4 linked regions of the Drosophila melanogaster genome follow. Changing the gene in region 3 together with the main gene of any one other region gives a genetic interaction. Each region holds a gene or a part of one and is shown on either strand. Other genes may lie near its edges. The genes, in order: WASp, Afti, AP-1mu and spdo.

Region 1 (4,704 bases), about 19 Mb from region 3:
CTCACCGCGCCTCGAAGTTACCCACAAAGAAAGGCACGGCCAGCGGTGGGTCACCATCGAAAGCGGGCTCTCCCAAGAGGATTCCCTTGGCGCCGGCCCGCCGAATGACGCCTCAAAGGGCAAACACCAGTCTGCGACTAGCTGCGGGCAAATCTCACGCTGCCTCACGTGTGGTCTCCGGCCGCGTGTCGTCCACTACTCCACCATCCCGCAGCAACTCCAACCTAAATGGAAGCAGTGCAGCCGCAGCAGCTGCGGCCAAGATCAACCATGCGCAAAGTCGTATCGCCAACATCTGGAAGAGAGTGGACGAGGCCAAAACCAAGCAATCGTCATCCAACCTGAGGACGCAGAAAACCAAATCTTCCAACATGCTCAACGCAAATGGAACCAAGCCGACGCTCCTGCGCAGCTCCACGTTTGACAATACCCCCAGCACCGCTGGAGGAGTCAAGTCCAAGCTGCCAGTGGTGGGCGCGCGGAAATAGAGGGTTAATTTGTTCAGGATAGTATGGATCACAAATTAGCCAAGTTAAAGCGAAAACGGAAGTGGAGATTGTAAGAGGAACAGGACTGTATTTGTCAAGCATTTTTTAGGAACCGAACACGCACAGGTCCACATCCACAAGCCGAGCTAGAGTCAGAGTCAAAATCAAAGAGTTTTTAGGATAGGAGTTAATATACATACGCTATGTAATCCATATTTTACTCTCCTTTTACTTTATACATTATACGTAGACCCTAAAACTTTGTAAGCAACCAGTTTAGCATAGAGTTAGCGCAAACTCCTAGTAACTTCAACTTATCCAAATCACAGTCAGAGAAGGAAGCTCCCGATGCTCCCGATCGTGTGTAGCCAAATGTATTGCATATATATACACAAAATCAGGCCTTTCAACATGTGTACAACTACCCAATATATACAAAATGTATACTGGCATATATATAAATGCTATATATTCGATTGTCGCATTAACTAGGAAAGGTTTACCAAGTCGAATGTCTGTTCTGATTTAACTTTTTTAACACTTAGTTAGATGAGCTGTCCTCCAACTGGTGAGCTACTGAAATCAATTACAATCATATAGTTGCACATCTTTATTGAGAATATACTCTAAGTTTAAAATATGCCCCTGGCTTCCTTATGCAAACACCAAATATCTGAAGAGAGAAGAAATTCACATTTTTTAGTCACTGCTTTTTAAGTATTCTTTTATATAATTTAGCAAGTTAAGGGTAACTGTTTTAGGAAACAGCTTATGCATTAAGCTCATCATTTGCGACTTAGTTTTTACCGATTCAATGCGATTAACCATTTTCAATATGAATAAATCGAAATATGCTTTTTGTCAGCAAAAAATTAAACCAATGTGAATTTACTCGATTATAATTTATATCAAAATAAAACATATTTTGAAAGCCAGATGAACAAATATTTATTCGAATTTACGGGCGTGGTAAACAAAATCAAATTTAACGGAAAAGATAACATAAATGAAAAAATATACTATTCCCACAGCTCTCCACTCGCGATTTCTTAACGGAATTGCCTGAAACTTTTTGATAAACTTTTAAGCGGAACTAGTGATGGGCAAAATTGAAAAGTCTCGAGCATGGTCTGCACAGGGCCTTGGCAGAGCTTGATGCATATTTTAGGAAATTATCGAAAGGATAGTATTTTTAGCCTATCGCCTTTTTCGGTCGGTCACACTGGCAGCAATTGAATTGGAGTGAAAAAAAATAAATGAATAAACAAACTAGCATTGCGTCCGGGAACAGACGAATAATCAACCGAGGAACACTCGTTTTCAACGCCATGCACTCGATGACGCGGACGCGCGCACAGTAGAGCCTCCCGATAAGAGTCCCGGAATCCGCAAGGCCAGAGACTACACAGATTTTGTGGTGTGTTGTGTTGTGTGTGGGAAAAAAACGAAAGAGTGAAGAGCAGTGCACGAAAATAAACGCAAAAAATCAATGGGCGACCCCCCCAGCAGAGCAGCTCACAAGGGAAATTCGAGACCTTGAGTAGGGCAGCACATCATCCCATCCCATCCAAGCCGAACCAACCCAACCCATGAACTTACTCCCAATCCGCAGCAGCGTCTGTCTATTTACATTTGCATTTTCACCCCACCTGGCGCGACGACGGACAGGTGTTGTCACAAATCTTGGAGCTACGGAGTGGCGCACAGTGGGGTGGATTGGCTGGTGGCTTGTGGCGAGTGCCGAATGTTGAGTAACCCAGACCACTGTGCATGTATCACACATAGATACATGCGCACACCTAATCAGTGCTTTTCGCCAAAGATAAGGGCTCTTTTCGAAGAGTTTGCCACTGGCCTGGCTTTTGCCCACATTCAAACGCAGCTGGCTGGCTTGCTGGCTGACTGTTTCTGTTTCTGCTTCTGATTTCCGACTCTCGGGCACCGTGACTCAGACCAGGCGATCCGCTCGCAGCCCCGCCGACACCATAACCAGCTACATCGTCATAGCCAGCGCAGGTCTCGGTCTCTCTCGCTCGCGCTCTTGGCCGTAATTCGGGCTGAAAACCATTCAAAACCGTAAAGACAATACTGTCAATCGATTCAGCAGTCCCAAAACCATAATTCTTCGATCCCAAATCGGGTTATTCGCAACACACTTCGGACTCCGTTGCTCAAACTCTCTGTAGATCGGAGTTTTTACAAGCTGTACACTGTACAAAAAAATAGGCAGCCTATCCAAGTGTAGTTATCTTTTTATATTCGAAGGCGTTGACTGCAATAATTCATTTAAACGTTAAATATTATACAGTTTCTGAACTCTTTAGTATATTTATGGGAGCTCAAACTTTTCATATTGTATCGTCAACCCTACGATCCCAAACTTTTGTTCACTCTATCGAAGTTCAACTGTTACTCCGTGTGCCTTTATTGTTATGAACTTTTTACTTTTTCGGGGTCCCCAGCGTTTTGTGATATTAAATTAATACATTTAGCTTTTGTTCATTTGCGTATTGTTTTCGCCACACAATAAAATGCGTATTGTGTCCGTATTGTGCAGGGAAACCAGCCCAGATCCCCATATCCAGCACCAGACCCAGATCCAACGAAACCGGCCAGATGAGCAGCGGAATGAGGTCGCAGGACGGTCCACGGGCGAAGGTCAATGCCGCCAGTACGCTGCTCACCCAGGAGGAGAATGAGGCCGTCTTCAAGCTGCTGGGCAAGAAGTGCCAGGTGAGTCGAGTACTGATGATGCATAATGCCCCCAATCGGGTGATTAATAATTAAGCAATGACATGGTTTGTGTTCCTCCGCCTTCGCCGAGCAAATCCCACGGCTTGATGAAGCACTTCCTGCGGCTCAAGTGTCGCCCATCGTGTGCGAATTTCACTCGAAGCACAGTAACCCTATATCATAATATCATTCTACGGTCTACGGGCAGCTGCCTGTCATATTTACCAAATTTCACTTGCACACTGCCCAACATAGTTGAATGGTTTCTTTGCCCATTTAAAGATGGCACCGGAAGCTAAACTGTGAACAAAATTAGAGTTCTATGCACTATAGTTAGTTGGTCAGCTATAAAACTTGCATGGGAGTATCGTACACATTATTAGCTTTGGTTTTGATTGAAAGACATACTCTTTTGCTGGAAAGTCTACTTGAGTCAGTGCAGATAACCATTTAGATTAATGTTCTCTGTACTATACAAAAAAAAAACAAGATGAATCATTGTTACACAGATGTTTTATGGTGCCCATACATACATATGTAGGTTACAACTTATTGGGCACTATTCTCGTATTAAATGCTCATTAAGAAATTAGGAGTATATAAGGAATAAATAATATTCATTCAGATCAGAGTCCGAATGTGCTGGCCAGTGTTACTAGAGCAATTTGTTAGACTTTGTTAACATTACTAATATTTACCTAGCATTTCTTAGAGCCTCTATCAGCAAACGGCTTGAGCCGGCATTGATAGGCCACAAGCGCAGTTGTTTGCACTTCTTGATTAGTTTTTTATTTCCAACTCTATTCCTTCGTAGTATTGGGGTGCCAAAGCCGATTGTGGTGCGAAACGAAAGAGAAACCATTAGTTTGGCCCATTGGGTCGTGATAAGAGTGGGGGTACATATAGTATTTGAGGCGAAATACAGACGAACCTTATCTTATCAATCCGCCCGCCCAATGCGAATCACCGGCCAATGCCAAGTGCGATAAGAATGCCCTGAAATTGGAGTGGAAACTTGGAATGTGGTCATTTAACGGCGGCCGTTGTGCGGATAATTATGGTGTGCACAACATGGGAAAATCGCTAATTTCGATTCGCAATTCACGCTTTGCTAATTCGCAACTTTCCATTGACAAAACATTTCCAAATGCATTTGAACTCTGCCAAAGTAATGCAACCAGTGGGCTGGTTAAGGCAGTTGGCCCCTTTTGAAGACACTCAGAAAGGCACTACCAATCCATTTCTCATATTTTTAGTCTCTGCTTTTGATTCACTGAAGCTACGGGTATTGGGCAAGTCAATGAAAACGTTCGGGGATTTGTAAATTATGTCATTAATCCCACATCTTTCGTTTGCCCTGCTCTGCTCTCTGAGATAAAGAAAGAGATTACCTGGTGGAAAATATTCAATCAATCACCAAACCATATCTTGTTTTCACCGTATCGAATGCTGCCCGTCTTTGTGCGATATCGTGTGATAACAC
Region 2 (7,955 bases), 4.8 Mb from region 3:
ACACCCGCGACCATCTAACATTGACAAGCGGCTTGAAGAGGGAATCCGCTGTAATAAATAGTGGCAAACTAAACACAAGAGGCTACTTATACATTAGTCTGAGAATCACCTGACTGGGGCATCTCTGCCAGCCACTTGGCTGCCGCATCCTTGAGCACCCTAACATCATCCGGAGTGCATTTTCGCACGATTGTGTGCAGCGATTGCTGGCGGGTGTCCAGGAATCGCACCTTGGGAGTTGTCAGCACCTCCTCCGGTGCGAGAACATTAACTGGAGTACAGGAATTTAGTTGGCTCTTGAATAAAGTTGTTGGAACCCCAAAACTCTTACCCTGCTCGGCGATTTCTCTGATATGCTTGGGCAATTGATCCAGAAAGTTTGTCATCGCGATGCGATGGCATGTCCTCGATGGGATTGCGTGATATAATGGCTCCCCGAAACACGAAAGGTGTCTCAACACCTCCGGAATTGGAAGTATTCCGGGGGATTATTGATCAAACAGCCGAGCCATGCGACGACTTGCGAGCGAATTGAAAGTGTAAATAAACGCCGGTTGAAATCAGCTGTTGGCGCCAATATCTTAAGTGGGCCAATCAGCTGGCAACTACAGTGGGCATCCAATAAGGTAAACTATCAGTTGTTGTTTATCAAAAAAGATTTAAAACAAAATTTAGGAAAATTATTGATAATCAATTTGCAAAAATATTTATATGTACTTCCTAGTCAAATTTGGAGCTCAAACCCTCTCAAATTCTCTCAATCCTCTCCTATCCAAACACTATGCTAATATAAATATATTTCCAGTGAACACCACTTAATCACAAACACGAAACACTTGAGAGTATTTACATAATGGTTTTGTTTCAATCATTTAATTTCGAACATTCTGTTTTTTGCACAAGCATCAGAGGAAAACACAAAAACGATAGTCAGTGATCGATAGATGGTGGCTCCACTATCGATGATGCTCCTCCTTTTGGGCGAACTTCGTGTGTAAATGTTGTGGTTTTTCAATGTTTTTAAGCTAAGGGAACTGCGGATGTTGCATCCTGAAGGATCCTAGTGCTTGGGAGTGGGCTTCGAAAGCTCAGCCAAGGCACGGGCCTCAGCCTCTGCGCTGCGCTTCTTCTCCTCGGCGAGCTTGGCATCACGGACGGCCTTCTGCTGTGCCTCGATCTCGCGCAACTTCTCCTCCTTCTTGGACAGGCGGCTCTGGTGGGCGGCGCCGTAGGCAATGCCCACCAGGAGCAGGGACCATCTGCCGAACTTGATCAGCGGGGAAACGCGAACGGGAGCCTGCGACATGGTTTCTTCTTCAAGTTATGTAATTGTCCGACCGTGAACTGCAAGAAAAGGATGTACTTTAGTTATCCGACTTCCTTAATAGCGTTCCCCGTCTCGCTCCACTTTACAGATTCCTGGTTTTCCTAGTTTTATGCAATATTTGATGTTAAATAAGCAAAATTACCAAATTGGTGGAGCGATTGCAACGGCAGCGCAGTATAACCTTAAAACAGCTGTCAAAACTGACAGGCGGCTATCGATAGTTGTATTGGTACGGTGGCGGCGTTGCCAGCAAGCTTAAAAAAGTATGCAGAAATTGTGGAAAATATCATAACAATTTAAAAGAAGCCTTTATGACGACTATTTGTTGTTTAGTGTCCCAACAAAATTTGACGTATTACATACTGCAGCCTAGACTTTCATGTATATTTTACTCTTGTTACTAATAATTTTCAAATACAATTTTAACGGTAAAAGAATTGGAAAGAATAAAAATCTATTATAGAAATATAACTAATATAACTATTCTATCTGAACTATGGATAATGATTTAAATCGAAAATGGGAATTGAAAAAGATAAGATTCAAATTTTGTATGTTATCAATGTTGCGCAACGTTTTTCAGCACTGTCGGTTGGCCAAAAGTTAAACGTTCACACTGTGGGCAGAGGAAAAAGTATTGTTTTCTGGAAAACATGGCTAATTGCAGATAAAACGCGACTTGCAAATTCGGCAAATCTGTTTTTAGAGCCACCAATAAGGCGACAATTAGACATAATACAGAGACACAACAAAATTGACGCGTGTTAAATGCAAACAAGAAAATTCCAACACAGACCTTGAGTGGCTAACACACACACACACACTTGCAGGCCCTCCACACCTGCGTCACACATACACACCACACACACAGTGATAAAGTGGAGCGAGAGAGATAGAAGATCGAACCGTTCCCAGCGTTTTTGTTGTTCTTCTTGAAGCAGGAAGTGAATTTTAGGGGATCCTTTTACTGAATTTTGCAGCTGGCATTATGGTGAATGTACCACCGCTGCTCTGCAGCACCCCCCCGCCCATCGATTTTGGTGAGGAAGACGACGATTCCGGTTTACAATCCACCATCCATTTGGACGAGGGTGACGAATACTCAGATTTTGGCTTAGTCAGCAGCTCGAAAGGCAAGCTTAGATATTTATCGAATCTCAAAGTGATACTCAGTTAATTCTCGCTTTTTAGAACCCCCTCCACCACCAGATCCCGTGGAGGAATTTCGAGAAAAGCCACCTGATTTGCTGGAAGACAAACAAACCGTCGAGGCATTTAATTACCAGGTGAAACAGAAGATGGATTACGATGTTTTCGAGGAAACAGCACCGCCGACGCCGCCTCCGTTGAGCTTGGAACTGGATGATGAGGAACTGGAGGAGCATGTGCCCTCCCTTAAGTTGGACAGTCTAAGTCTCTATTCCACGGAAAGCGTTTCTGCCGCCTCCACACTCTCACCGGTTGCGGAGACTAGTGCAGTTGCTCCGCCGGCTATGCAAACAACCAAAGCCCATATCCTCAGCCACCAAGTCACGCTGGAGGATGTGTCCGATGACAGCGACGAGGAGTGCTCGCCAAAGAAGCCCAAAGAACTATTTATACGCGAGGGAGCTGTGGATTTCTTTGCCATAGAGGTATTGGCCACTCCAACCCTACCATATGGAGAAGGCTTTTCGGAGGAGAATGTGGATACAGGGAAAGGAGAATACGTAGAGAATACCTCCCAGCCAGAAGAAAGCTTTAGAAGTTTGGAAGCCCAGGAGGAAAGTTCAAATACCTTAGAAAAGCCTATGGAAAATCAAAGCCGTGGCTTATCAAATCCTCCAAATCAGGAGGAATCCCCTCACCAATGGGGTGAACCAGCAAATAGTGATACATATTCATTTACAAATCTTGATGCGACGCCAAAAGACTTAGTACACAAAGAAATTGTTCCCGAAATGCAAGAGCAAGAAGATGATGATGACTTCGGTGACTTTGCGGATTTCTCAGCAGCAGAACCCCAACTAGAAATCACGGAGAATTCAACGTCTGCCTTTGAGACACCTTCCTTAGCAATCAATTCCCGAACGGAATCTCAACCTCTAGAGGTTAAGACGGCTCCTAGCACAGAAGAATCCTCTAAGTTACCTCCTGCAGAGACCGATGATGGCTTCGATGATTTTCAGGAGTTTGCCACTCCTGCGAATGGAAACCACGGTCAAAGCGAAGACGACGATGATTTTGGCGACTTCGCCGCGCCCGTAGTGACTCCTGTTTCTGTACCTCCGCCACCGCCGCCAGCTGCTGTCCATCTGAGCATAGATGAAAGGGTTAAGCCAGTCCTTGATATGATGTTTCCACAACCAACGGAACTGGACAGCAAAAGTATGGACAATCGCAGGCCTTTGGCTCAGTGCCAGCGATTCAATTTTGGTGCCATAGAGCATGCCCAAGCCCTTGATTACCAATGGAGCAGCTCGGAAATGAGACACGCCCTTGTTCGATCGCTGGGCATCGATTCAAGGAATATAGTAAGTTAGATAGGGCTTCAAAATGTATTTCAAATAACTGAAATTCATAAACTTCCAGCTCTTCGGCGACAAGTGGAACTCATCGATGCCACGTTTTGCTGCCAACCTGAGCTTTGATCCGCTGAAGCCGCTGAAACCTCAATCAACCGGCGCCGCAAGCAGCCTGGAGCCCATTTCCAATTCCACCAGCTACCAGGGTGAGTGTCCTTAGAGTCTCTGCGAGATTGCTCCACTTAGTTGCCGCAAATTAACCGCTACACAAGTTTCGTAAATCGAGAAATTGCCACCCTATCGCCTAACGCTCGCTTTACTTTCAAACGCTTTTCGTTGCCTATTTCCCGATCCTATTGACACACGCTTCCCGGATTGGCCTGCCGTTCGATTGGCTGCTCCTTTCTATATATTCTTATTGATTTTCGTTTGCCTTGTTTTTCCTTGTGACCACATTACTTCTAACTATCTCAACAAACAATCAAAAAGTTTATCCTTACGATAAATTGTATTTAGAATCACATGTACAGACATTACAATTGGAACAACTAGACCAACTAACGGTGGTGGCTAATGCTGATAAAATAAATCTTGTTACCTCTAACTCCCACACCAATAACAACAACGATAATGGTGATAACGACGTTGCTGCACCCGTTGATCAACTGGATTGTATGCCACCTGTGATGGATTTGATGACCCATAACGATCACAATTTGACAATCGATTTGCACCACTCTCCATCACTCACACATTTTGCCACCATCTGCAACAACAATAATAACGATAATAACAATCCCAACAATCTTAACAACAATCATGCAAAAAATACTGCAACAATGACAATAACAATTAACACAAACCTCACTGCTCACGACGCCTTGCTGGATTTTAGTAAGTTTCGTTGGCTCTGTGCGTGTGTTGTAGTTGAATCTCCACTCTTTTTTGGTTCGTTCAGTTCAGTTTCGATTCTCTATATACTTCTCAGCTCTATCTCTCTATCTACCCGTACCGTCCTACCGATCCACAGTTCCCCCAGTTCTTGTTACTTTGGCACAACGCATCCAATCTCAGCCAGCTCAGTTCTAGCACAAGTAGTTGAAGCCCGCCCAAGAGTTCCCTTCATTTTCACATTTTACTTAGCTAGATACAGTTGATCATACTAATACCTAAATATTGTCTCTAAACTAAGCCATCATCTGATGTGTTGCTAAATCTGGTAACTAAAAGTAATGCTTGAAATGTAACCATTTTCTGATTTCTTTGATTCTATAAAAGATACAATGTATCTAGTAAAATAAAATGATTAATGCAAGATTAGTATCCATATCCATTCCATATCTTTCATAAGCACAGTGTTTTTTTAGTTATCTGCAACATAACAGATGATTATAGCCGAATAACTAATTAATTATCTTTGTTTATCTCATAGTTTTCATTCATGACAGCCAAGTAATTGTTTTCTTTCCTTCGCACAGGATTGGAAAACGCCGCCGCAACAACGGCGAGCCAAACTGAAACGCGGACTGGCCCGTCTCATGGGGAAGGCTCCACCGGCTCCTGTTCCGCCAGCAATTCCGACGGCGAAGAGCGACCGAGTCATAGCCACCAGCCAACTGCAGTCCCCAGCCCCGAATCGAACCATATTGAATCCACAGCAGCGGCATCAGCAGCAGCTGTTGCTGCAGCAGCAGCGACGCTACCGACTACTCTATCAGCAGACAGCCCTGCCCACAAACTCAACGGCGGTGAGCAGCTGCATCAGCAGCGGTCGGAGCCGGAGCAGTTTGATTTGAGGACCACTCCTCCGGCCGCAGCGCCAGCTCAGGAGGAGATCGTGGGCAGCTCGATGGCCAGCTATTCGGTGCCGCTGAAGGAGACCCATATCTATACGCCCTCCAAATCGGATACGGCGGTGGCCAAGACCACCACACTAGCGCCCATTGATTTCGACTACGAGATGGCTGCGACGGGCATTATCATCGATGAGACGGTGGTGAAGAAGGAGTATCGCGACGTGGAGTACAAACCCCCATTTGGTCTGGATTCGCCCAGCAAACTGAGTGGCAATGGAGCTGCCAGCAGCTTTCAGTTGCCACCACAGACGACGGAAGATGACGACTTTAGTGATTTTCAATCTATGCCGGCGCCAAGGTCTCGAATTGATACACCCACTTTTGGCGAACAGATGATCCTTAGTCCGGCTATTCTGCTGCCCCAAGCCATTCCGCTGGCAAAGAAGCCAGCTGCAACTATTGAATGGGGCGACAATGCTCTGTCTAGCATAAATGCCGAGGAAATGGCCAGGATAGAGGAGTTGTTCTCCTCGCAGGCCAAACCGCTCACCATAAGCGCTTCGGTGGCCAAGAAACCAGCTCCTTCCACGCCAGCTCAGTCTCAGCCTCAAGAAGACGATGAATGGTCGGACTTTGTCTCTGTTCCAGTCACCCAACAGCAACCGCATCATCAGCAAAACGCAATTGCTAACAACAATAATATAGTCAACAGCAACGCTAGGAAACCAGCTGCTCCCAAAGAAGATGATTGGTCGGATTTTGTGAGCAGTACTCCGCCAGCACGACCGGCTCCACAATTCAATTCCGGTGCGTGGCAGAGCGCTAATTTCTACAACAATCCCTTGAGTTTGTACCAGGCGCAGCAGCAGCTGCAGCAACAGCCTCATAGCAATCTAGTGCCCAAGGGCAGCACCAGCAGCAGCAATAACAACAATGTGCCAGCCATTCCACAGCAAATACACATCATGCACGACTTCTCGACTGCACCCGTGTCTGGAGGATTGGGTGTGGGTGCCACCTACCAGCAGCAGCATCAGCGGCAGCAGTTCCAAATCGGCAACGCCAAGGTGGCTCCACGCATCTCCCTGATCCCCGATCTCAGCTTCGTTGCACCGGCCTTGCCCACAAATGCTGGTGCGTTCATGGGTGCGCTACCGAAACCCACTTTCGGTGGCAAGAAATGACACAAGAAGCTGAGGGTGGGCGGTGGGCGGCTCCAGCAGCAGCAGCAGCGTCCGCATGTGGGCGCTCCTCGCCCACTGGGTGGCGGCGAGGCCACCATCCTCACATAGGCGAAAGGATCGATCGCGCACCCGGGTAGCCAGTCAGTATTATGAATCCGTCTGATATTCACCATAATCCGAACCGTCACACATTGTAGTTTTGAGGCAAGCTGTGTTCCATGTTGTTGTCGTTGTTGTTAACCTTGTCGTTGGCATAATTGTTGTTGTTGTTGTGCATGCATGTTGTAGTCTTAGGCGTAAAAATCAGGATTTAGAACGAAACAAACAAGTAACCATTTTGTGCTATAGTTTGATTCTAAATTTATGTTTTACTTAATTTGACGAAAAAAATTATACTTTTGAAAAATAATATTTTGTAGAGCGAAAAAACTGTTAGTATGCTTGAAAAATTCTTTGTTTTTATCTAATATTATTTAAATGATCGGATATACTTTTAGAATTCGAATTATTGGGTAAATAAGTCAAAAAACTCTAGAAGAATTGTAAAGTAAAACGAAAAAGAATACCGCACACCAGTGAAATTATGTAATTTAAGGGATATTTCTGAAATCCTGCGAGATTTTAAGGTTTAAGCTTATGCATCCGATAGCATGCAATATCTCTATGCGGTCATATCAATATAACAACATAAGATTTATCATAGATGACCAAAAAAGAAAAGATACAAATTAATAACAAGGATTTCGGAAGTATCCCAAGTAAGGAAAAAATCGGCATTACTTTTAAAAATGTAAAACTATTAGTTCCATGATGATTTTAGCTTTAATCAACCCCAAAGTTAGAACCCTAAATCGGAAAACTCCGCCTATCTGAGGAATATCATCAGTTAATCCCTGCGGCAAAGCCTACAAATGCATTCCACTAGCGGCGAACTTCCCCTTTTGTATATCCATAACAAATACTCCAATGCGATTGCGGGCCACCACCACCACATGGATGAAAACCCAACCCGCCTGATGCGAATTTTTTCTATATTGTGTACTTATAACAAGCGACAGGAAAGCGAACTAACCAAGCAAACATAGTTAACGTGTTGTATATGAAATAGGATTTGTTAGTTGATAGAAGAACTCCCATGCATTCC
Region 3 (4,236 bases):
GCATCCTGCAGCTTTCGCCGCGCAACTCCGACCCGATCCTCCTGTTTGCGTATGTCGTCCTCCGAAATGATCACCGCGTGCATTAGCGGTTGTTCAGGATTCATAAACGCCATGGCATTCTTGGTCAAATCAGCCTTCGTAGAACTCTGGCCGTGTACGCCGGCGTTGAGCATATGCAGGGCCGTGGCCACCGACTGGAGGACGGTCTGTTCGTTGACATTGGGGCCAACGGTGCGTATGGTCTTGGGCAGTGAGATGTCGTCTAGCTCCTCGCCACTGTCGTGGCAGGCGCGTAGTCGTTCCAGTCGCTTCTCCCAGAACAGCTGTTTCGGCTTCTCCCGAGTGCCATGCTTGGGTTCATTCTTCGCTTTGGCGGGATCCTGTTTATGGTTGCGAATCACCGTCACCGGTTGCTTGAAGATCGAGGCAGTCTGTCGAATGGGAGGCACCAGGGAGACATCAGTGCGCAGGGCTCGGCTGTAAGGGATTAAAGATTGGAAATGTATTAGAGAAACGCCTTCAAAAAGCTAAAACACCGAACAGCACATTAGACAAAGCGTAAAGTAAAGCTTTAGCATGCAGAGATGGTGGAACATAAATCTCAGGTGGCACAGAGCTACAGCGTTTTTGAAGACAACTACGAATTGTTTTGCCAATTGTGTGTTTCTTTGGGTATTTTTTCATTTGATGCTTTTTAATTGCCGCAGGCTGTAGACCTTGCGTCCTGGCAAACAAGACATGACACGCTGACATGCAAGAGTCAAGTGCTCATCCACTTGGCTCTACCTGAGTTCGATCTGTTGCTGCTGGCGATTGGCCGTTGATGGTGAAGCAGATGCTGCTGTCGCTGTTGCTGCTGACGAGGCGGTCGCTGCCGGAGGAGCAGCTCCTGCTGCTCCTGCAGCATTGCCTCCTTGACTCCGGGCGAACTTGCGCTTGAGGGCATTGGCCGCCGATCCGCTGGTGGCCCCATTACCGCCCCCGCTTGCTATAGGCAGCGGCATGGCGCTGCAGCGGTACAGCGAAATGGAGGGCGAGGGCAGGGCGCAGTGCGGCATTTTGCCAGGCTGGAAATCAGGGATTGCAATGTCCTGTGGCTTTCCCTCCGCCCTTTTTCCTGTGGGACTGCTGAACAGACACGGCGGTGGATGGATATTTTTGGTGGGTTAGGTGGTAGTTCGTGTGCGTGTGTATACATAGGCGTATGCGTGTGTGTGGTGTATATGGTGTGTGTGTGTGTGGTTATGCGGATGTAATAACAGAAAGGTAGTGAAAGTGATTATAAACGTTTATCCGATTAAACAGCGTGCAGTGTTCCGATTTTAGGTATATAGTAGTCTATATAGTAATTCTGCTCTTCTTCTTTACCTGTAGTAGAAAACATCCACCTTGTTATTGTTGTTGTTGCTGCTGGCTGTGGCACTGCTGTTGTTGTTGCTGCTGGCGTTGTTATTGGCGCTGCTGCCGGACTTTCGGACCTCGTCGCGCTGCCATCCCTTTGGCAGGACACTGCAGTCGACGCGTTTGCGCTCGATTGTGACGCTCGGGTTCATTTGCATGCTCGCCGAAATAAATAATTAACAATTCCACAAAAGCAGCGTCTGGGCTAGCAGTGTGGCCGTACTGCGGATGGCCACAAATGCCGGATGGCACAATAGTGATGCTAGATTACATTCTCCAATATATTTATGATTTGAATTTAAAGGTACCAATGGGAAAATGAAAATAATTTAAAAGGTATTTATTTAAAAACAGAAACCTTAAGATGTTACACCTTGCACATTTTTCATTTCCTTTAAGCTTAATTCGCTAGTTAATCAGCAGTAGACCAATCTCACCTGGCCACACTGCCCAACACCTGATGTGAACATTTCACAGCACTGGTGGGCCAACTAATAAGAAAAAGAAGCAGCAGAAAAGGCGACGTAAGAAATTCCGGAGTTTTCATTCGCATTTTCCAGTCTACGAAACGGAATATGTAAATCCAGCCCATTGATAGACCTAGCCCACTCATCGCCACCTCGCGACAGTTGCCAACTTCCACGCGCAACGCCTGCCGCGAGCAGTAGAACCATCGAAGCGACCTCCCACTCGATCCAATTGGGAATTTTACACCTGGGACAAGTGGCAGCTGCTGGGAACCAAGAGACATGTCTTCGTCGGCCATTTTCGTTCTGGACGTGAAGGGCAAGGTGCTGATATCGCGGAACTACCGCGGTGACAACATCGACATGGCCGTGATCGACAAATTCATGCCATTGCTGATGGAGCGCGAGGAGGAGGGCCTAATCACTCCGATCCTTCAGACGGCGGAGACTACATTTGCCTACATCAAAACGAACAATCTTTATATCGTATCCACGACGCCGCGCAATAAGAACGTTAATATCGCTCTGGTCTTCGTCTTTCTGCACAAGATCGCGCAGGTCTTTGTGGAATACTTCAAGGAGCTGGAGGAGGAGTCCATTCGGGACAATTTCGTGATCATCTACGAGCTGCTGGATGAATTGCTCGACTTTGGCTACCCGCAGACCACCGACTCGAAAATTCTACAGGAATACATTACGCAGGAGGGTCATAAGCTGGAGCTACAGCCCCGCATCCCGGTGGCCGTGACCAATGCAGTATCCTGGCGGTCCGAGGGCATTAAGTATCGCAAGAACGAGGTGTTCCTGGACGTTATCGAGTCGGTGAATCTTCTCGCAAACGCCAATGGCAATGTGCTGCGCAGCGAGATCGTGGGCGCCATTAAGATGCGCGTCTACTTGTCGGGAATGCCAGAGCTGCGACTGGGTCTCAACGACAAGGTTCTGTTCGAGAGCACGGGCCGCGGCAAGTCAAAGTCCGTAGAGCTGGAGGACGTCAAGTTCCACCAGTGCGTGCGGTTGTCACGCTTCGAGAATGACCGGACAATCTCGTTCATTCCTCCGGACGGCGAGTTCGAACTGATGTCCTATCGTCTGAACACGCATGTGAGTATTTTTATGTACTTAGCACCAAAATGCAAGACTAACTAAACCCCTGTTGACAGGTCAAACCCCTGATTTGGATCGAATCAGTGATCGAGCGGCATGCCCACTCCCGTGTGGAGTACATGATTAAGGCGAAGTCTCAGTTCAAGCGAAGATCGACGGCCAACAACGTGGAAATCGTCATACCAGTGCCCGCCGACGCGGACTCACCCAAGTTCAAGACCACCATTGGAAGCTGCAAGTACGCACCGGAGCAGAACGCAATCATCTGGACGATCAAATCGTTCCCGGGTGGCAAGGAGTATCTAATGCGGGCACATTTCGGTCTGCCGAGCGTGGAAAGCGAGGACAATACGGAGGGCAAGCCGCCAATTCAGGTGCGCTTCGAGATTCCCTACTTTACCACGTCGGGCATCCAGGTGCGCTATCTGAAGATCATCGAGAAGAGCGGCTATCAGGCGCTGCCATGGGTGCGGTACATCACGCAGAACGGCGACTATCAGCTACGCACCAATTGAAAGGGGCAACTCCCGTTCCTGCATCATTCCAGCCAAGCTTCAGCGAGTCATCCTGCAACAGGTAGCTTCATCTCCACCCGCGTTTTTGTCTGCGATGCGTTGCGTTAAGTCAAAAGTATATATTTGTATTCGTATTGTTTCAGTATATGTATATTGTATGTAAATCAAATTTAATAAATTTTAACACCTTTTCATAACACCTGCACCAGAGTGGGTCACTTTGTATGTGCAAATTAAGACCTAGGATGCAACCAAGTTTATCCTCTTCGTTGGTCAGAGAAAACCCAAAAACCCAAAGTGTCTAATTTCACATATCCACCGACCCACCTGTACAGATGAGTCATAACAAACGGGTTGAACCCACAAAAAACTGTTTGCCTATTGCTTAATCATAATAAATGCACTTTCGATCGAGTCTCTCGGTTCGTTTTGATTTCTGATTTGTTAGCATCTTTATGGCACCTATCTGGAATCTATTTCTCAAAGTCCTTCAAGGGATAGTGCTCCTTGTGGGCCTCGATATGTTTTTCCAGCTCGCTACGCTGCTCAATCAAATGATCCGGCATCTCCGCGTAGACGCCTTCGAACATCTCACGCCAGTTGGGCTTGAGTTTCTTCTCGGACACTGCGATCTGCTTCAAAACCTTTTTCCTTATGTCCTTGACATATTCGTTTTCGACAGTCTCGTCAAACCAGCCTTTGTGCACCATGTAGCGCTTAAGCTTGGATATTGGGTGCTCCACCGA
Region 4 (4,564 bases), about 21 Mb from region 3:
GCCACACTCGAAGTGTCCAGTTGGTAGGTGTCTTGCAGGCGGAGCAAGGCCACCGCCGCGCCATTGAGGTCCTCGTCGGAGGGGAACTTCAGGAGGCTGCGATACTGGGTGATGTTCTGCAGGAAATCCGTGCCCACGTCGTGCTCCATGAGGTTCTCCACCTGACGCCAATCGGTGGTTAGCCGCTTAGTCAGCAGGTACGCATTGATTGGATTGGATACATAGGCGGTTATATCATGGGAGGCATCCGAGTGCTCCCTCTGGTACTCGTCCATTTTGCTGCAATTTAAAGAGAGGGCAAAACTTAGTAGACAGAAGAGCAAAACACATTGCTTTAAAATATGCACCGTATTTCAATAGTTAAAAGGTGCTGAAAGCTGAAAAATAATTGTTTACTCAATTAAGTTAAGTATCACGACGCTGAATCTATAATTTTAACACTCGACCTATATTTGAAAGTGTTTATTCACCATATATATATTTTTGATTGTTAAAGAACTAACCTAATTGAACACTTTAACCATTTCCTTATTGATACAAAATGCTGTGCTGGTATCTACGTGCCTTTATTTTATTCTTATTCCATAACATACTTATACTTAGGTGAACAATAAGTTAAGCAAACTAAGTGTTAGCAATAGGTACAACCCACTTGTTATATACAGTCGTTTGGGGGATGATGATCTTCCGCTGATTATAAATCTAATTCTTGTTTTTGGTCTTTTAGCCGTTCGGTGTGTCAAGTTCTTGAATTCGAAGTGGATGGTGTACAACTAATTAGAGTCTAGGATTAACTATTTCCAGGGTATTAGACCACGTTGACGCGGTTGTCTGGCGGAGGTCGGTGGCACCACAAGCTGCCCAGCACTCCCAATCCGATGAAGAACATGGTGAAAGTCGACAGTCCAAGGATGACGCCAGTGGTCACATCGTGGACAGGAAATCCGGGGAAGGGGTCCACCACGAGTATCACAAGCAATCCGCAGGACTTGAATAGGCAAAATACGGTGACCAGGATATAGCCGGAACTATAGCTCCTGTTCGGCAGCCACTCGCAGTGGCGCGACTTGAATCCCAGGAAGCCGAGTCCCATTCCGGAGAAGGAGGCCACCAGGCTAAACTGCAGGTAAAAGGACTTTCCGAGCTGTAGGCGAAGAAAAAGTGTTATTCAAATGTTTCCATGGACAAAATGAATATCTTTAAAAGTATTTGAGAGTACTTACGTGTGCTATCATGTAGATGATGAGCCCCGCATTCATGGTGCTGCCCAAGACGAGCATCAGGGAGACAACGGCCAAGGTAATGGTGGCATTGGCCATCTTCTGCGGATAGGAGCTGTTTTTCTTGCCCTTTCCCTGGATGCTGCTCATGTCCTGTTCCCGTTCCTGCTCCTGCCCCTGCTCCTGGACCCTGGGACTGATGACGGCCATGGATCGATCGGCGATCTGCATGGGAAGCGGCTTCACGGTCTCGTAGTGAAGTCTCTGGGGGGAGAGTCGATTCTGGCGAAGTGGCAAGGTTGGAGGGACTCCTACTACCGCTCCAACTTGTTGGCTTTGGTAGATCTGTTGGCTTTTGTAGATCTCCAAGCGCCTTTCCAGCTGCAGCTGCTCGTGGTGGGCGGCGTTCCGGGGCGTTGAGTGCGCCAATCGCGGAGGCGGCTGCATCTTCCTGGGCGTGGTCAGGAGCTCGTGCAGGGCCCTCGTAGCGGCAGCCGCATTCTTTTGCTGCGGCGTTGAGGTCCTCGCTGCGTACTGCCTGCTCAATTCCATGTTGCTCAGGCAGGTTTCCTGCTGCTCCTGCTCCTCCGCCAGATCATCGTCGTCCGCATCCGTGGGCACCACTGCATATCGATGGGCGCGGCCATTGTGCATCTGTATGATCTCCTGGTTCTCGTCTACCAGCTCCTCGTCCTCGGCGGTGGGCACCATCTGGTACCTCTGGTTGCTATTCTTATCCACTATCAAGAAGGTCTTGCTGCCGAAGTCGCTACTAAAAGCATGCTTAATCTGGGTTTGATTGGCATTGGTATTGTTGTTAATATTCCTGGGCTTGGGCGGCAAATTAAGTATCGGTGGCAAGCTGGCAAACTGGGTCTCCTGATGGGGTTCCTCGTGGAAGGAGTGAGGCTCCTCCTCTTCGTGCAATCCATGTCTGGAGCCATAGCGATCCAGATTATCCTGTGATCGGGCCAGTCTCTGTGCCGCCTGTCCTGGAACTATGGCGTATCTACTGGCCCTACTGCTGTTCAGTTCCTCTAGGGGAACCAAGGCATAGCGACCACTAGAGGATTGCGGCTGGTGTTGCTGCTGCTGAGCCAGGTGTTGCTGGTGTATCTGCTGTTGGTGTTGCTGCTGCTGCTGCTGCTGGTGTTGTTTCCGCGTCACCGATCGCGTGGACATGCTACGCTGCATTCGCAGTGGACCCTCGCGGGGATCTCGAGTGGCGCGCGGAGGAGCCGCTCCAAAGTTCATCTGGAGGCTTCTGTTGTAGATGGACTCCACTCGCGACGAGTTGCCGCTGGGCACCGGGTAATACTCGCTGTTCTGGCAGAAGGCCGGGTTCGTATAGTTATGCTGCGACATGTTGGCACTGTACTGGTGGCAATTCCACAACCTCTTAGGGGTGTTCTTTCACTACTTTGGGTTTTCTTTGGGTTCGTAGCACTGTTCACGATCCGCTCGCCTCGGCAACTGCGACTCGACTGATCTAGAGAGCCGTTCCAGACGGCAGCTCCTCAACTTCCTCCACTTCCTGCGCCGGCGCGCAGTCGAGTGGATCGTGCTCCGATACGAGTCCCCACCCCATAAAACACCATTTACTTGTACATAAGACACCCGTACACCCGTACAATGACCGACTGTGTTTGGCGCGTTCCATTAGGCCATTGGAACCGAACCGAATGTGAAAACCCAGAAACATCTGCTCCTGCTGCTCGACGAACGAACGGGGGTTGAAACGCATTTCACTTCCAACTGAGACGTCTCAACGCGATCCTAACCAAAACCTAAAAACCCCTGGCGAATTGCAGGAGCAGCCGGCGTTTTATTCGGTTCGCGTTTATCGGCGTTTTTAATTCTTATTTACCAACTCATATGCGCTCCCTTGCGACTTTAATTCTGTTTTGCTACCACTTAGTTGGCGAGTTGAGGGGTATGATGAATGTGTTTTAAATCCACCTAAGATTATACTCGAACATAACCAGTGTAGAGCAGATCATATCAGCACACTGTCATCACCGAGAATTCAACATAATTTAACTATCATAAAAGTGTTTTTTCTTTATTATAATCATATAAGAACTAGTTGTTCTTGTTCCTTTTGTTCATCCGCTGCTTTGTTTCTCGACCGAAATATTTAAAATAGTTTATTGTTTGTTGAAAACATATCGTGCTTTTATTATATATGGTTAGCATCCGTATATCGGCACCATTAAAACAAACTTTTAATGAATGCTTTCACAAAACAGTTTAGTTTAATATGCACATATTTCTGACGTAAAAGCGTCAAGCCATAAAGTAGAGCTTAGCTTCAGTCAGAAAGAAATGAAACAAAAGAACTTAAGAGATTAAATTATTTCACTTCGCTTATTTATTTTAAGGGGTACCCTTCAGTCGCGCTTGCTTCTTAAAAATAATCCTTGCTCAGCTCTGATGTTTGTGCAGACCAAAAACCTTCCCTAAAGGCAGCCCTCCCCGGATTTTTGTTGCCCAAGCGACCGTTACATTTGGTTGTCAGAGAAAAACGATAAAAAACGAAGAGTTCGTGGGTCAACTTTATCCGGATTTCGCCTCCCACGTGCATACATATGTACATGCCTTTGAGCCCGCAGGTTGGATGCACGCGTGTTGTCCTTTTGTGGTGGCCAACTTAATTGCCTTTTGGCCAGAAGCAAATCAGCGCAGCCGGGGGCATTTGTCAAGCGGATTAGCCAGAAATTGGAGGCACCAACAGCTGGTCGGTGGGAAAATTTAAGATGCATATAAAGTTAAACGCCGGCAGACGGCACGCGACTAGAGTGCGGGGTTTCTGCACAGTATCCGAAGGATACTCGGATGCAGATACTCAAAGGCAGGGGCAATGACAGCGCACAAGGATAACAGACAGAGACGGCAGGCACACAGCTGTCAGCTGTTTGCGAGGATCCTGTCTCGTCCTTTGTTGTGACACAACCAAGGTACAAATGCAGGAACAGAAACTCAACTAAACTCAACTGAACTGAACAGCAGAGAAACAGCCGCAAAGATAGATCCTGAATCCTGAGTCCTGAGTGCGACTGGCATTATTTGATTAGGGGAGTTGTCTCACCGCATCCTGCACCCTGCTCTCTCCCCCATATTATTTCCGCTGCCAGTTGTCATATATATACGCCACATAGATCCCCTTCGCATATAAGCAAGAGATATGTATCTGCAGTCATGTGTGTGAGGGGCGCCTCCTCAGATACATTTACAGATACAGATACACACTCAGTTGTAGTAAAACAGCATAGGTGCGTGCAACAGCTGCCCTCGCACGTGGCAAAAGTAATTACCAGAATGCAAGCGACTACCTGAACGTCTAT

Evidence for each region.
Region 1: of AP-1mu (region 3) and WASp, changing one suppresses a phenotype caused by changing the other (phenotypic suppression), as found in Drosophila melanogaster (one study listed by BioGRID).
Region 2: of AP-1mu (region 3) and Afti, changing one enhances a phenotype caused by changing the other (phenotypic enhancement), as found in Drosophila melanogaster (one study listed by BioGRID).
Region 4: of AP-1mu (region 3) and spdo, changing one suppresses a phenotype caused by changing the other (phenotypic suppression), as found in Drosophila melanogaster (one study listed by BioGRID).

Annotation. Positions count from the first base shown.
Region 1 is NT_033777.3:28,829,019-28,833,722, reverse strand, and holds the start of WASp (WASp), read left to right. Parts: upstream 1-1,698; 5' UTR 1,699-1,905; intron 1,906-2,409; exon of another isoform or gene 2,410-2,504; intron 2,505-2,582; exon of another isoform or gene 2,583-2,729; intron 2,730-3,045; 5' UTR 3,046-3,104; coding exon 3,105-3,221; intron 3,222-4,704. Other genes in the region: Apc (APC-like), read left to right, coding at 1-488.
Region 2 is NT_033777.3:14,320,642-14,328,596, reverse strand, and holds Afti (aftiphilin), read left to right. Parts: upstream 1-1,907; 5' UTR 1,908-2,315; coding exon 2,316-2,460; intron 2,461-2,518; coding exon 2,519-3,840; intron 3,841-3,898; coding exon 3,899-4,037; intron 4,038-4,347; coding exon 4,348-4,725; intron 4,726-5,309; coding exon 5,310-6,811; 3' UTR 6,812-7,520; downstream 7,521-7,955. Other genes in the region: spn-B (spindle B), read right to left, coding at 1-48, 110-271, 332-386; ATPsynE (ATP synthase, subunit E), read right to left, coding at 1,061-1,306.
Region 3 is NT_033777.3:9,557,164-9,561,399, reverse strand, and holds AP-1mu (adaptor protein complex 1, mu subunit), read left to right. Parts: upstream 1-1,874; 5' UTR 1,875-2,150; coding exon 2,151-2,972; intron 2,973-3,031; coding exon 3,032-3,490; 3' UTR 3,491-3,688; downstream 3,689-4,236. Other genes in the region: MBD-like (Methyl-CpG binding domain protein-like), read right to left, coding at 1-477, 787-1,128, 1,369-1,559; BckdhA (branched chain keto acid dehydrogenase E1 subunit alpha), read right to left, coding at 3,964-4,236.
Region 4 is NT_033777.3:30,474,834-30,479,397, reverse strand, and holds spdo (sanpodo), read right to left. Parts: upstream 2,715-4,564; 5' UTR 2,586-2,714; coding exon 1,224-2,585; intron 1,145-1,223; coding exon 809-1,144; 3' UTR 549-808; downstream 1-548. Other genes in the region: PH4alphaEFB (prolyl-4-hydroxylase-alpha EFB), read right to left, coding at 1-279.